Rattus norvegicus: one gene and its partner. The protein of the gene in region 1 purifies or fractionates together with the protein of each later gene. This does not show direct contact. Links are inferred from orthologs where the notes say so. Each region holds a gene or a part of one and is shown on either strand. Other genes may lie near its edges.

The links. Proteins that work in one complex are often made in the same cells at the same time.
Region 2: the proteins of Vars1 (region 1) and Eef1b2 fractionate together in Homo sapiens (co-fractionation; 3 studies listed by BioGRID, with this or other methods). This does not show direct contact. The link is inferred for Rattus norvegicus from reciprocal best matches to the Homo sapiens genes VARS1 and EEF1B2.

The regions. Positions count from the first base shown.
Region 1 is NC_086038.1:3,808,757-3,814,974, forward strand, and holds the end of Vars1 (valine--tRNA ligase), read right to left. Parts: intron 6,143-6,218; coding exon 6,039-6,142; intron 5,945-6,038; coding exon 5,786-5,944; intron 5,707-5,785; coding exon 5,616-5,706; intron 5,508-5,615; coding exon 5,402-5,507; intron 5,317-5,401; coding exon 5,246-5,316; intron 5,166-5,245; coding exon 5,040-5,165; intron 4,796-5,039; coding exon 4,691-4,795; intron 4,611-4,690; coding exon 4,542-4,610; intron 4,349-4,541; coding exon 4,270-4,348; intron 4,143-4,269; coding exon 4,015-4,142; intron 3,841-4,014; coding exon 3,685-3,840; intron 3,540-3,684; coding exon 3,333-3,539; intron 2,883-3,332; coding exon 2,771-2,882; intron 2,653-2,770; coding exon 2,327-2,652; intron 1,807-2,326; coding exon 1,738-1,806; 3' UTR 1,673-1,737; downstream 1-1,672. Other genes in the region: Vwa7 (von Willebrand factor A domain-containing protein 7), read right to left, coding at 1-277, 701-931. UniProt on the Homo sapiens protein: Catalyzes the attachment of valine to tRNA(Val).
Region 2 is NC_086027.1:72,070,466-72,078,394, forward strand, and holds Eef1b2 (elongation factor 1-beta), read left to right. Parts: upstream 1-3,625; 5' UTR 3,626-3,700; coding exon 3,701-3,780; intron 3,781-4,229; coding exon 4,230-4,352; intron 4,353-4,861; coding exon 4,862-4,988; intron 4,989-5,119; exon of another isoform or gene 5,120-5,197; intron 5,198-5,274; coding exon 5,275-5,341; intron 5,342-5,458; exon of another isoform or gene 5,459-5,590; intron 5,591-5,704; coding exon 5,705-5,830; intron 5,831-5,927; coding exon 5,928-6,082; 3' UTR 6,083-6,126; downstream 6,127-7,929. UniProt on the Homo sapiens protein: Catalytic subunit of the guanine nucleotide exchange factor (GEF) (eEF1B subcomplex) of the eukaryotic elongation factor 1 complex (eEF1).

The DNA.
Region 1 (6,218 bases):
GGGCATGGAGTGCAGCCCCGAGACGCTGTCGGGCCAGTGTATACTCTAGTGCTCTGGCGGCCACCAGGGTTTCCCGAAGGGCCCCCTCCAGGCGAGTGCGCCCCTGGACCAGCCGTTCAGCATCGAAGTGCAGGTCGGGGTTGCTCTTGGAAGCTGGCAGGAAGTCTTGGGCTGCATTGGCACGAGACACCTCTCCTAAAGCCGCTCTGAACCTCCGGGAAGAAAACCCTGATCCAAAGTAGGCAGCAAAGATATCATCGGCGAGGAGGGTCCGGCCCTGGCCAAGGGTGGTTAGGGAAAGAGACTCCAGAGGCCGCTTGGGTTCTACCACTCCCTGAGGTGCCTTAGCAACTGGCACTCAAGGCTGGGTAGGAATAGAGGGTGAAGGGTCCCACGAGGGAGCAGCAGATTTGGACTGGCTGACCTGGCACTGTGTAGCCCACGCTGGCCTTAAACCAACCACAGATCTCCTTAATCAAGTGCCGGGGTTACCCGTGTATGCCACCACATCCCCCTTGGTACAGACTTTTCCAAGACTGGGGGGGGGGGGGGAGAGACTCAGAATTTCAGGACCAGAATTGCAGAGGGAGGAGTGTGGAAATGAGCAGGTCAAAGGTGAGCCTCCTCTTGACAAGGGCCCTCTGAGAAACCCTGGGGAACTGTAAAACCTAAGGGTGAGAGAGGACACAGGGTTGCTCACCCTGTAGTCCTCTAGATGGAGGTGCGGTCGGCCTGGGGGTGGCTGTTCCAGAAAGAGCTCAAGGGTGACATTGAGTGCAGCCTCTTCAGTCAGGTCTTGGTGAGTGATGGAGCCAGGGGCAGCCAGAAGGCTCCAGATGTTGGGAAAGAAGGCAGATGTTGGGGGCAACAGCAGCTGGAGCAGCAGTACTGGGGGGCCCAGCTGGGACAGGGGGACCTCCACAGGGAGCATGGCTGAAACATGGACCTAGGGAACAGAAGCACCTCGCGGGGAAAGGAAGCCACCAATTCCAGGGCAGGTCTTGCTGTCTCCCCGGCACCTGGTGCCCACTTCCTGCCTTGCTTCAGGTGCCCCATCTAAACCAGCCTGGCTCCCCACCCTGAACCTGCAACCCACACAATCCACGGGCCTGTGAGGCCAACAGAGCGCACACCTGCCCTCAGAGCACAGGAGGATCCTCAAGGTTCTTCTCCTACACCAGGCTGAGCCCCGGCCCTGCCCCACGGATAGGAAGTCTCCTCAGGCCTCTCCTACCTGGTTGCTGGGTCTCCTGGGCAGTGCTGGCCCGGGTGTGGCGTCACAGGGCACTTAGGTCAGAGCTATAATTAACTGGGCCTCAGTAGCATGAGAGGGAGGCTCTTAGCAAGGGGTTGAGGACAGGCAGCCCCTGGCCCTCTTCCATTCATGCCAACCCAGGGCCACACGATGTAGCGAAAGCCAGGGCGGGGCCAGGGCGGGCTCTGTAGCCACAGCGCAGTGCAGTGAGGTGAGCGGGGAGGAAGGGAGCTGGCGGCAGAACAGCATGACTCAGGCCTGGCACCATGCCAGAGACAGACCCAGACAGACGCATCCCTCTGCCCACCAGGACCCAGGGCCTGGCTGGAGCTGACACACTCCTGCTGCTCCCAGGAACTCCCAGGCCAGGCTCTGCATGCCCTTGCCCTGCCCACACCACACAGACAAGAGAAAATGTTGGCAAAATATTTTATTGCTGCCATCCCTGTTTGGTGGAACACTGGGGGTTGGAACTGGGGGTGTCACAGCATCTTCTGAAACAGGGCGATGGCCTCATCCACCTTCCTGAGCTCCGCCTCTGTCTGTTGTAACTGGGGGTGCAAAAGGGGTTATGGTGATGACCCATGCCCAAGGAGACCAAACACCAGAGAGTAGAGGAGCCCAGGTTGGTGAGATGGGTGAGGACCGGGAAGTCAGGGTAGTGAGGCAGCACACCCCACGCCTCCGTCAAGACCCTCCTCTGAAGTGCTCCTTTTCCTGAGTGCCCAGTGACAAAGGCCTTGGAGCGCACACACAATCCTGAGGGACCCCACCTATGAGGAGCCCAAGGCTGCCTGGCCACACGCTACCCTCACTCAGAGGGCCTGGGAACGAACACTCAGTGTCGCCAGTGCTTCCAAGCACTGGGCCTCCTTGGCAGACCCTAGGGGGGCAAGGGCCTTCGGGAACCCCACGCCAGGAGACAAACTGACTTTCTGGGTGAGCCTAAGCGGGAGCAGGCACTATACTTAGGGTCCCACTGCCACAGGGGCTCCAGGGTCCTAGCAGCTGGGCTTGCTGAGACCAGGGCACGACAGACGCAGCTGATGCTGGGACAACCCCACCACACACCTTCACTTCGTCGGCCTCCTGGACCTCAAGGGGCACCTTTGCTGAGTAGCCAGAGGCAGCACGGCGCTCCTGCAGCCGCTGAGCCTGTCGCTGTGCCTCACTCCGCTTGGCCTGCAGCTTGCCCAGCTCCCGGGCTGGGTCCACGAGCCCCTGCAGCTGCAGGTGGATGGAGCAGCGGTCTGAGGCCACAGCCACAGCGCAGCCCTGTGGTGCGGGAGCACCCAGGGCCAGGACGGCCACCACACCCGCACTGGCCAGAGTCTGCACGTAGGCCGACACTGCCGAGGCCAAGGCACCCGTAGCCTCATCAGCTACTTCCAAGAAACCTGCAGAGTGAGGAGGGAGAAAAGTGAAGCCTGGATACAGCCAGACCCTGGGTTCCCTAAGGGGCCTTGGAGGACAGGGGGACAAGATAGGTGGACGGACACGGGGCCTGAGGCTTACAGTCGGGCCTGGTCCGGGTCAGGTTGTAGTCTGCACGCAGGGAGCGCACAGCTCTAGTGATGCTCAGCGCTAGCTCAAGAGCAGCTTCGGCTTCAGGGTCCTTCCAGGAGCACTGTGAGGCAGAGTGGGGAGCACTGTGAGGTAGAGTGGGGAGCACTGTGGGGCAGAGTGGAGAGCACTGCGGGGCAGAGTGGAGAGCACTGCGAGGCAGAGTGGAGAGCACTGTGGGGCAGAGTGGGGAGCACTGTGAGGCAGAGTGGGGAGCACTGTGAGGCAGAGTGGGGAGCACTGCGAGGCAGAGTGGGGAGGGGGAGCACTTGAGGCAGAGTGGGGAGTACTGAGGCAGAGTGGGGGAGGGGGAAGCACTGTGAGGCAGAGTGGGGAGCACTGTGAGGCAGAGTGGGGAGCACTGTGAGGCAGAGTGGGGAGCACTGTGAGGCAGAGTGGGGAGCACTGTGAGGCAGAGTGGGGAGCGCTATGAGGCAGAGTGGGGAGGGGGAGCACTGCGAGGCAGAGTGGGGGAAAGGGAGGGCAGCCGTGCCCTCTAGGCCACACCTCATACCTCTGAGGGCTCTGGGTAGGGGGTGACACAGAGGCTAGCAGGAGCGTTTGGTGTCCGCCGAGGCAGCCTCTGGAATAGCTCCTCTGTGACAAAGGGCATGAAGGGTGAGAGCAGCCGCAGGCCGACATCCAGGCAGGTGTAGAGGGTTTGCCGAGCACAGTCTGCTGCTACCTGGTCCACTCCGTTCAGAACGGGTTTTAGGCACTCCTAGAGACGGGGAGGCAGAAGGCTCAGGGCCAGGTTCCACCTGGAGCCCCCTCCCCATGAGAACTGAAAACAAAAGGTGAACTCAAGTCTCAGGGCGAGCCTGAGGTCAGAGCTGCACAGGCCTAGGCCCCGTCCCAGTGCTCACCAAGTAGACATCACAGAGCTCATAGAGCCAAAAGCTGTACTGGGCAGTGGTGACGGCTGGGAAATCATAAGCCTGGAAGCCTTCATTGCTGAGCCTCACGGCCTCCGCCAGCCGGCTGCGGATCCAGCGGTCCACCAGGCTCTCGTGCCCTTCCGGCTGCAGGGAAGAGCAATGTCAGCCAGCACACTACCAGGGCAGGGAGCCACCCGGCTATCCCCAGACTGCAAGGGGGGCGGGGCTGCAGCGGCTTCAGTCTTGGCGCACTAGGACCACGCCTGACGCTGTGTGGGCATGCGTGCTGTCATAGATGGCCGCCAACCAGAACTTCACCTTGGAGGTTGGTGAGGGTACAAAGCCCTTCCCAAGGCCGCGCAAAGCAAACTTGGTGGCATTCCAGAGTTTGTTGCAGAAGTGACGGTACCCCAGGATCCTGTTCACATCCAGGTTAATGTCTCGACCTAGGGGAGGGATGAATCTGACTCCACCCCATTCTCTCTCTCAGAGAGGTCCTCTGCAGGCCCAAGGTGGAGGAGCACAGGTTTCAAGGAAGAAAACAGGCAACTGGGGGAGGATGGGAGACCATACCTTGGGATGTGTAGGCACAGAGTCCAAAGCGTAGGGCATCAGTGCCACACTCGGGAATCCCTGCTGGAAAGTCGGCCCTCTACAGAGGACACAGAGGGAATAGGGGGGTCAGGTTGCCCACCCGCTGCAGCCCACCCCACACCTGCCCACCCGCTGCAGCCCACTCCACATCTGCCCACCCGCTGCTGCCCACCCGCTGCAGCCCACCCCACACCTGCCCACCCGCTGCAGCCCACCCCACACCTGCCCACCCGCTGCAGCCCACCCCACACCTGTCCTTCTTTGGCTTTCTCCACCTCACTGGGATCCAGGTTGCTGTTCAGTAGTTGGTCATGGAGGCCCTAAGGAGGAGATGGGAGGCATCAGGTTGTTTCAGCCATAGCTGCAAAGTTGTTCCTAACTGACCCACTGAGTGCCCTACCTGCAAGGAAACTCCATGGATGACATCCAGGGGGTCGATGACATTGCCGAGAGACTTGCTCATCTTCCGGCCATGAGCGTCCCGCACGATTGCATGGAGGTAGACCTGGGGGCACACAGTGTGACATTGAGGCCACGATCCTCCCAGTCTTGATGGCTTCCCCAGTCCCCCTACTGGGGATCATGGGTCCCTAGTGGCCCTACTAGCTCCAAGTCTCAGTGTAGCTGACAAGTGCCTGTCCACTGGGAAGAGGAAGCCCTGGGCCAGACCCACCACAGCTAATCTTAACCAACAGCTACCCGAGAAGGCAGGGGAGGAGATACGGGGGCGGGGCTTAGCATCTTCACACCTCTCTGAAGGGCAGCTTCTCAGTGAGCTTCAGGCCAAGCATGACCATTCGCGCCACCCAGAAGAAGAGGATATCATGGCCCGTCTCCAGCAGGGTCCCAGGGTAGAACACACTGAGATCTTCTGACTGGGGGAAGCCGAGAGCATGCAATGCAGGTAAGCCCAGCATTCCCTTCAAGGCCCCTCCCTCTTCACGTTAGAACATACCTGATTGGGCCAGCCAAAGATGGAGAAGGGAAAGAGACCAGACGAGAACCAGGTGTCTAACACATCCTCATCTGGAAGGAACAAAGGTCAGAGATTAGCAGGATGGTAATAAAAGGACAGAATCCCAACTGTCCCCCCGTCCATGCCCATCCCTGCCTTGCTGAAGGCTGATCTTGTCAGGGGACACTCCAAATTCCCGTGCTGCCTTCTCCCGGGCCTCTGCTTCAGTGCGTCCGCTTACCCAGTACCGCCCATCAGGGTCCTAACAGAGAGGGTTATCAAAAAGGCTTCCTTTACTTCGCCCAGACCCCTCTGCCAACCAAGGGCCCAACAAACCCCAGCAGGCAACATCTAGCTAGAGCCTCCTCACCTCCCCAGGGGGTACCGCTGGGTCATGGACAGTGATGAAGTAGGCAGGGATTCGGTGGCCCCACCACAGCTGCCGAGAGATGCACCAGTCTCTGCGAACAGCAAGGGGTCAGTCAGGGTGCTCAGCCTGTGTCTCTCAGCTGCTGTGCTGCCCACCCAGGCCATACACACCGGATGTTGTCCATCCAAGAATGCCACGTCCGCTGATGGGCCTCAGGCAGTATACGGAGGTCTCCCCGGGTCACGGCAGCACTGGCGGCCTGAGCCATCTCCCCACAGCGCACGTACCACTGTGGCCTTAGCAGAGGCTCCACCACATCCTTGGAGCGGCTGCAGCAGGAAGGTCATAGAGAGGAGGCCATGTGCCAAGCTCCCAGAGGAACCCCACCCTTCCCTTCCCCATGTGCACCGTCCCCGGTCTCACTTGCATAGTGGCACTACCATGGGGTTGTCCTTGATGCCGCGGAACAGGCCCTGCTCCTTCAGGGCCGCCAGCACAGCCTTCCTGGCCTCAAACCTGGGCAGGCCCTGGATGGAAAAGGCCTCATTATGGCAATGCCCAAGACTCTCCACCTTCCACACAGGCCCCTCACTGTGCAGACAT
Region 2 (7,929 bases), on another chromosome or scaffold:
AGAGAGAGAGAGAAGAGAGGGAGAGAGAGGGAGAGAGAGGGAGAGAGAGAGAATAAATTATTTTAAAGTTTTTTTTTAAATCGAAAGTAAAGTGAAGGATGGAAATGTGGCTCAGTGGTACCAAGTGTGAGACAGCTCTAGGTTCAATAACCAAGACTAAAAAATAATTTAAATGAAAGGCCAGAGAGATAACTCAGAGGTTAGCATTGTCATCCATCACTGAAGGAAGTGAGGGCTAGAAGGAAGCAGTTTCTTAATTGAGGTTCCCTCCTCTCAGATGATGTTAGCTTGTGTCAAATAGACATAAAACTATGCAGCACAGTCTCTAAAATCCTTTTCTACAAATTTCTGGGATTACAGATATGTTGTTTTTCTGTTTGTTTTTACCTTTTAAAGATAGTAAAAAAAAAAAGTGATGAGTATATCAACATTAAAAAAACAGTAAAAATGTTTCTCAACAGCAGTAGCAGTACTAATAGAAAATAGTTCAAAAAACAGATTTTTTTCCTTTTTAATAATTAAAAAAAGTGTTTGTTATGTGTTTTGTCTGCATGTATGTCTATTCACCTCAAGGAGGCCAGGAGAGGTTATCAGATCCCTTGGAATTGGAGATACAGACAGCTGCTGAGCTGCCCTGTAATTTTAGGGAATCAGATCTAAAAGAACAGTCTTAACCACCCAGTCATCTTTCCAGTCCCAAAGGTATAGCCTAGGCAGGTCTTGAATTCATGATCCTCCTGTCTATACTTCTTGAACATACGCTGGCATGTGCTACTACAACTGGCTTTTAGCTGTGTAGAGACCAGGCTGGCCTGAAACACACAGAGATTCACCTACAGGCCTCTGCCTCTTAAGTGCTGAAATTAAAAGCATGTACTACCACTTCAGATAAAACAGAATCCTAAACATTAAAGTCTGTAGTTATTATAGATGATATATAATTAAATATTTCATTAGCTTATAATTTAATTTATTTAATTAATTCTTTAAAAATGGAAATCTACAGTTTACAAACTGAATTTGCAGATACCGAGTCTGTTATCTACTAGGTATTGGTTCTTTACCTATAGAGCAAATCTACACTGTTTCTTAGGGTATTATTACTAGGTCAATAATAAAAACAAAGAAAAAAATTGCAGTAAAAACAGCAAGGCAATCAGTAATGGCTATTAACAATCAGTTGTACAGCGATCTTTGTTTGTGGCCCTTTTTCTTATTAAAAACACACCATGTATATATTTTATTATTCTACTTACTAGAGTTGGACAGAGCAGGTAGCTTTAATGCAGGACCACTTCCTTTAGGCTGCACTGGACTATATCCGTAGTACAAACAACAAACAAACCCACAGTACTAAACTGAAGGTGAATCATCAATATTGTTAGCTACTGGACTGTAAGTTCCTTGACAAAAAATTTGGCTATTTCTCTTTTCTGAAGACTAGCAAGTCCCCAAGTAGTTTTGCCACCAAATTCCAGAATGAGCAGTTATCTATCTCTGTTTTAAATGGTACTGATGAGGCTACGCACAGCAGTCTATGCCTGTGGTTGCAGCACTGGGGAGCCTAAAGCATGAGAATCAGGAGTCTGAGGCCAGTCTGAGCTATATACATGGGACCTCATCCCACAAAAACAGCCTGCACTGCATAAAGAGTCTGAGGATAACCTGGCTTATGCACTGTACAGGTTGTTTTGCTGTGGTTTTTTTACTTTGGTGGGTTTTGTTTTTTTTTTTTTTTAGATATATCTCATGTACCTCAGACTGGCCTCAAACTTGCTATGAAGTCAAGGATCAACTTGGACTCCTAAACTTCAGGCTTCCACTTCCCAAGCAAGGGGCAGAATTAGCAACATGTACCACCATGTTCAGCTTCGTATATGTTTTATTGTTGTTGTTGACATTCATTTACTTACTGGATGAAGGTTACCATATACACACAAGGGGGTGGGGCAGGCGCATGAGGAAGTCAAAGGCAACTTTTGAAAGTCAGTTCTCTCTTTCCATCAATGTGGGTCCTGGAGACCTAACTCATGGATGCCAGGCTTAGCAAGCATCGTTACCAACTAAGCTATCTCACCAGCATGCATTTCAGAATATGCATTTCAGACATGGTATCTATCAAATAGGAACAGTAGAGTCCTTACCTAAGCATGCACAAACTCCTCCATTCAATCCTGTCCCAGCCTCCCCCGTCTAGGATTACAGATAAGCACCACCACACCCTGGCATATCTCTACTATCTTGGCTGTAACTAATAAAAATAAAGGGCGTTGATGTTCTGGCTTAGAATAATAGATTCAAAGATGCAAAACTCAGTGGGGGCTGGGGAGGAGATTCCCAGAAATTTTTGTTTCATCTTAAGACATGAATCTTGAGAACACTGCAGCTTCCTGATTTGCAGTGGGACTCAGAGCTAACTTTTTAAGATTCACTTTTAATTTATGTGTGCATGTGCTTGTCTCTGTGTGGTTATGTGCATTTATAAGTGCCGGTGCTCACAGTCCAAAAGAGTGGCAAATTCCCTGTAACAAGGCAGTTGTCCCCCTTCTGACGGAGACAGTGGGAACCGAACTCGGATCTACTCTACAAGGCACTCTTAACCACTTGGCTATCTCTCCAACTCCGACTGAGCTTTTAGTTTTTGTCATTCTCCCCGTCAGTGGAATGAATAAAATACTACCCAACATCATCAATGAACTGGACAAAATAAACAGTAGTGTGGGCAGTTTCAAGATAGCAACTAAAGAGACGCCTAATGTTTAAGTCTTTCCTGACACTGGGAAATGACCCGGTCTCCTCCAGACAGGGCCATCTCCTGTCTTCCCCTGCAGAGAGAAAGTAGCTAGCAAGCCGGAACTCCCAAAGGTTTCCTGATCATCTTGCTTATGCTCCATCAGACCAGAAACTATGGCTAGTAACCTTCACCTGCCGGTTCTCCGGGGTTCTGGAGGTGGCGGGGCAGGAGGTGGTGCCCAGTCAAGGACAAGAGGAGAATGACTTGTTTGACCTAAAGAACACAGTCCTGCTAAGAAAGAAAACACCACTCGAAGCACTTCAACTTTCTCTCTTAAACGCGTCCTCACCTTTCCTCTAGAGCTCACCAAGTTGTCCCGCTGATTTGTCCGGATCCCCCTGACCCCTCAAAACCCAGCCGCTAAGTCAATATGGCGGCCACGGCTAACTCCGTCAGCCTGACCTGGCGGACGGAAAGCCAGGAGGGACAACAAAGCCAGATTCGACAATCTCCCCTCTTTGGACCTGTTCGGCAATTTCCGTCAGCACGAGAGGGAGCCGGGAGAAAGCGGAGAAGACAACTTGGACCTGCAGTTCCGCCGGAAGTAGCCGAGGCCTTGAGGCCGAATGCTTTCGTTCAACTCCGGCTCCTCAAGGGGCGTTTCCTTTAGTTTTAGAATCCTTGGAGGTAGGCGTTTTAAAATGCATCTTTTATTAATTTCCTTCCAAACACAAGGAAAAGCCCGCGGACGACCTGTGGGTCGTCTAATTCACAAGACGCAGTTTTACGTGAAGGAACGAGACTAGTAACGTACTTTGACCTTTAACCTCTAGCCGGTGCAGTGGAGGGAAACGCCTCCGTCTCTATATAAGGACTTTTCCGGCCGGTCCCGGCCCTTTTTCTCCCTCAGCGCTGGCCGCGGGCTTCTAGCGCTCTTTTCCTCCGCTCCCGGTTACAGTCGACGCCATGGGTTTCGGAGACCTGAAAACCCCCGCCGGCCTCCAGGTGCTCAACGATTACCTGGCGGACAAGAGCTACATTGAGGGGTGAGCCGGGAGCCCCGGGGGCCACGTGGCGCGGGCTCGGCGGGAGGGAAGCGGGTCGCCGGAAACTAGGGGAAGCCGAGTTAGGTCTCCCGAGTCTCGGATGCCACTGGAGCAGGACCTCCCTGGAGGGGCTGCCAGCGCAATAATTGAAATAATGCTTGCTCTCCGTGTAACTACGTTCAGCCGGTTCTTCCGCGTCCTCTGACTAGTTAATTTAAACCTGTGGCAAGCCCGAGGTAGCCTTTGAGTTCTCCCAAGTGGTAGAGAATTCTTGGCTTGTACAGATTGAAACATATTTTGTGCACTTCCGATTAGAAGCAATTTAGGTTAGCCCTGTAATAGTTCCCACTAGTAGTTAGTTTGGCGGGTATGGGCTGTGTCATTTACCAGTTAGGTGTTTGTGTCTTTTCTTTTAAAGGTGCGTGTACTTGTTTTTGTGTTACCTGCAGGTACGTGCCATCACAAGCCGATGTGGCAGTATTTGAAGCAATCTCTGGTCCACCACCCGCTGACCTGTGTCATGCTCTGCGTTGGTATAATCATATCAAATCTTACGAAAAAGAAAAGGCCAGGTAAAAGTATCATTGTGCTACCTGGATTTTCGCATGGCAAAGTAGGACCGGGGTTAAAGTTGCTTTAGCATTGTTGACCTAGTGTAAACCAAATTTCTTTGTGACCTTAAATTAAGGCCAACAGACTGAAGTTCTCCATTTTCTCACAGAACAGGTAGAACATGGACAGCTGCAGTTTACAATTTTCCCACACCTCATTAATGTGTTTTGACCTGGGGGAGGGGCACCACTGGGTTGTGAGGGTAGCTGATTTAATTCCTGGCCATTCTTCTAAAACTAAAGAATGGAAGTGGGGATATATAATGAATCTCATTCAGATGTTCATTTTGGAAGAGTAAACCATTGAGTACTGAATACTATGTCTCCTTTAAAGTCAGGTCATTTACCTGGGGTTGTGCTAAGGTTAAGTAACCAGAAGAGATTGTGAGTTACTGGAAAGGAAGATTGTGTGTTTTGCCCAGAAAGAGCTTTGACACCAACCTAATGTTGTAGAATGCTTGTTTTTCAAGCTTGCCGGGAGTGAAGAAATCTTTGGGCAAGTATGGCCCTGTCAGTGTGGCAGATACCACAGGAAGTGGAGCAGCAGATGCTAAAGACGATGATGACATTGATCTCTTCGGATCTGATGATGAGGAGGTATGCCTTTCTCTTTATACAAGTATATTGATAAGGCAGACAGTCTTTACAGCATGACTAACTGGTGCTGTAGCCACTGCCCGGACATGGATCCTGCCTTGGCTTTATTGTCTGCCTTTAAAAATTTATCACTGGGTACATGATGAATAAAATCGAATCACCATCTTTCGGCTGAGCTCCTGATGGATTTGCTTTTTTCTGATGTCCAGTCATTTTTGTGATGACCTTGTCACTACATTTAAGCAGAAGATAACCAACTTTGTGAAATGTTTTTTTCTCTGTACAGGAAAGTGAAGACGCAAAGAGGCTACGAGAAGAACGCCTTGCTCAGTATGAGTCAAAGAAAGCTAAAAGTGGGTAACTTACGGTTTATCTTCATTGTTAGTAATGTGAATGCCTTTGTCTAGTGCTTGGCCTTAAAGTGGGTTTTCCCCCAGTTAAATTGAATGGGTCAATATTTTATTTACATCTTCCACAGCTACTGGTCTGCAGCTGTCTTTATGGTAGCAGTTGTAGCATTCCTCTGTGGGAAAGAAACTGTTACACAATTTAATGCCTCTTTCTTAGCCACATAGAAAGAGGAATATGCGTGACAGACACAAGGCGAGTTGTGTACGTTTTTGGCAAGAAGGTGGCCTGTTTCAAAACAAACAGATTTGACTTAATGGTGAAAATGTTGAGTATTTAGGTGTCGTTCATTTTTTCACCTTTTTTAGAGCCTGCAGTTGTTGCGAAGTCTTCCATCTTGTTAGATGTGAAGCCTTGGGACGATGAGACAGACATGACGAAACTTGAGGAGTGTGTCCGAAGCATTCAAGCGGACGGCTTGGTGTGGGGCTCCTGTAAGTGATGCTTGTGTTTGGGGGTTGGAATTTGGGCATCTTCAGTTTTCCTATCACAAAGAGTTTCCTAACTTTTTTACCCCTTGATCTTTTTTAGCTAAATTGGTTCCAGTGGGATACGGAATTAAAAAGCTTCAAATACAGTGTGTAGTTGAAGATGATAAGGTTGGAACAGATATGCTGGAAGAGCAGATTACTGCTTTTGAGGACTATGTACAGTCCATGGATGTGGCTGCTTTTAACAAAATCTAAATCATCCTTAAGTCTGTGCACTTAAATAAAAGCTTGAAAGATAACCCTTGACTCTTCATTTGCTGTGAGAAATGATATACTTTGTTTTGAAGAAAAGGTGAAGTGGTGGGGACTTGGGCTAGAAAGAGAAATTTTGCTCAGCATTTCAAACCACTTGGGCCATGGTTATCCAGACCAACATGAAGTTGCCTTTTAGCCAACACTATCGTGTCATAGATATAACTAAAAAGAAGATAAAAAATGTGTTATTAAAAATTTAGCGGGGTTGGGGATTTAGCTCAGTGGTAGCTCAGTGGGCCTTAGCAAGCTCAAGGCCCTGGGTTCGGTCCTTAGCTCCGGGGGAAAAAAAATTAGCAATTAATTGTCACCCGATGTGTTCAATACCTTTTTGAAAAGCAGAATGAATCTTGGGCCACTAAGCTGACTCCGAGGGTGCTTACCATTTGGTTCAATCCCTAAAGATAGCGTTATGTCCTGAGAGGAACATTGTATAGGTTTATAAGGTGGTCAAGTGTGGAGGTCTTTCCATTGAATCTGGAAATCTGAACCTAGAGCTGCAGGAAAGTGCTGGGATAAGCAGTGTGCTAAAAGCTACTTGTTGGAAACATTTGTGGGAGATCATACTGCTCAAGAAGTACAGCATGGGGGGCTGGAGAGATGGCTCAGCGGTTATGAGCACTGACTGCTCTTCCAGAGGTCCTGAGTTCAAACCCCAGCAACCACATGGTGGCTCACAACCATCTGTAATGGGAGCCGATGCCCTCTTCTGACAGGCAGGTGTAGATAGACCACTCATATACATACATAAAACATCTTTAAAAAAAAAGTACATCACAGCATTTCAGCTTTGTGTTAAAAATTTGGTACATACAGTAACTAAATGTATTTACCATAATTTTTAAAGTTTGGGGTTTGTGTTCTGTGAGCCAGGTGGTGGTAGTGCACATTTTTAAACACAACACTCAGGAGGAAGAAAAATGCAGACTCGTGGGTTCAAGGCCAACCTGAGTTATAAAGTCCATGAGAGTTGTGTATACAAAGAAACATTGTCTTAAAAACAAAGTTTTCTGTATTTTATAGATAGGACTCTAGAAGAATAATTCAGTTACTTCAGTCAGACAGTACTCTTGCTCTCAGTCTGGTTTTATGTTGACTACCTTCAGTGAGGGAAGCTTCACGTTCATACATAGATTCAATAAAACATGTACTAAGGAGAATATACTTCAACAGACCCGTCCTAAAGTAGTAGAAATTTTTTCCAGGTTAGAATCATGAGGGCCAGCAGAGGGCAGTATTGTCAAAAGCCTGAAAGCAGAGAAAGGGTTAGAGCAGAACTGTTAGAGCCTGCTGCAGAGCATGTCAGAAGCATGAGAGCAGGCTGGGGGCCGTAGCAGAACCAAGAGAGCTGGCTGGGGCCCTGTCAGAGTCACGAGAGCCGGCAGAGGGCACCACTTGGTATTCTAGGGCTTCTGGAGAACAGACAAAGGTACATTTTATTCATCTTATTCTCGTGTCTCTGTAAACAAAAGAACAAGATAGAATTGTGCTGTCAGTGCATGCTCTCTGAAGAGCATCTATACCATCTGGAAACATGTTTATAGTAATCTACACACTTGTACTTAGCTAGAATTTTCCATAATCATGATGTTCTGGAGGACTAAGAATGAACACAAAATTGTAGACATATTTCATAAAGGGGCAAAGAGTCTGTCCCCTTCCTTTCGTTCTGAGCCAGCCTAGTCTTGCTTTGGCCAATTTGATATGGTGGAAACAATGCTGTGTGTATGACATTCATAACTTGTAAGAGGACTGTGGATGTGGCTCAATAGCAGAGCACTTGCGGCTTG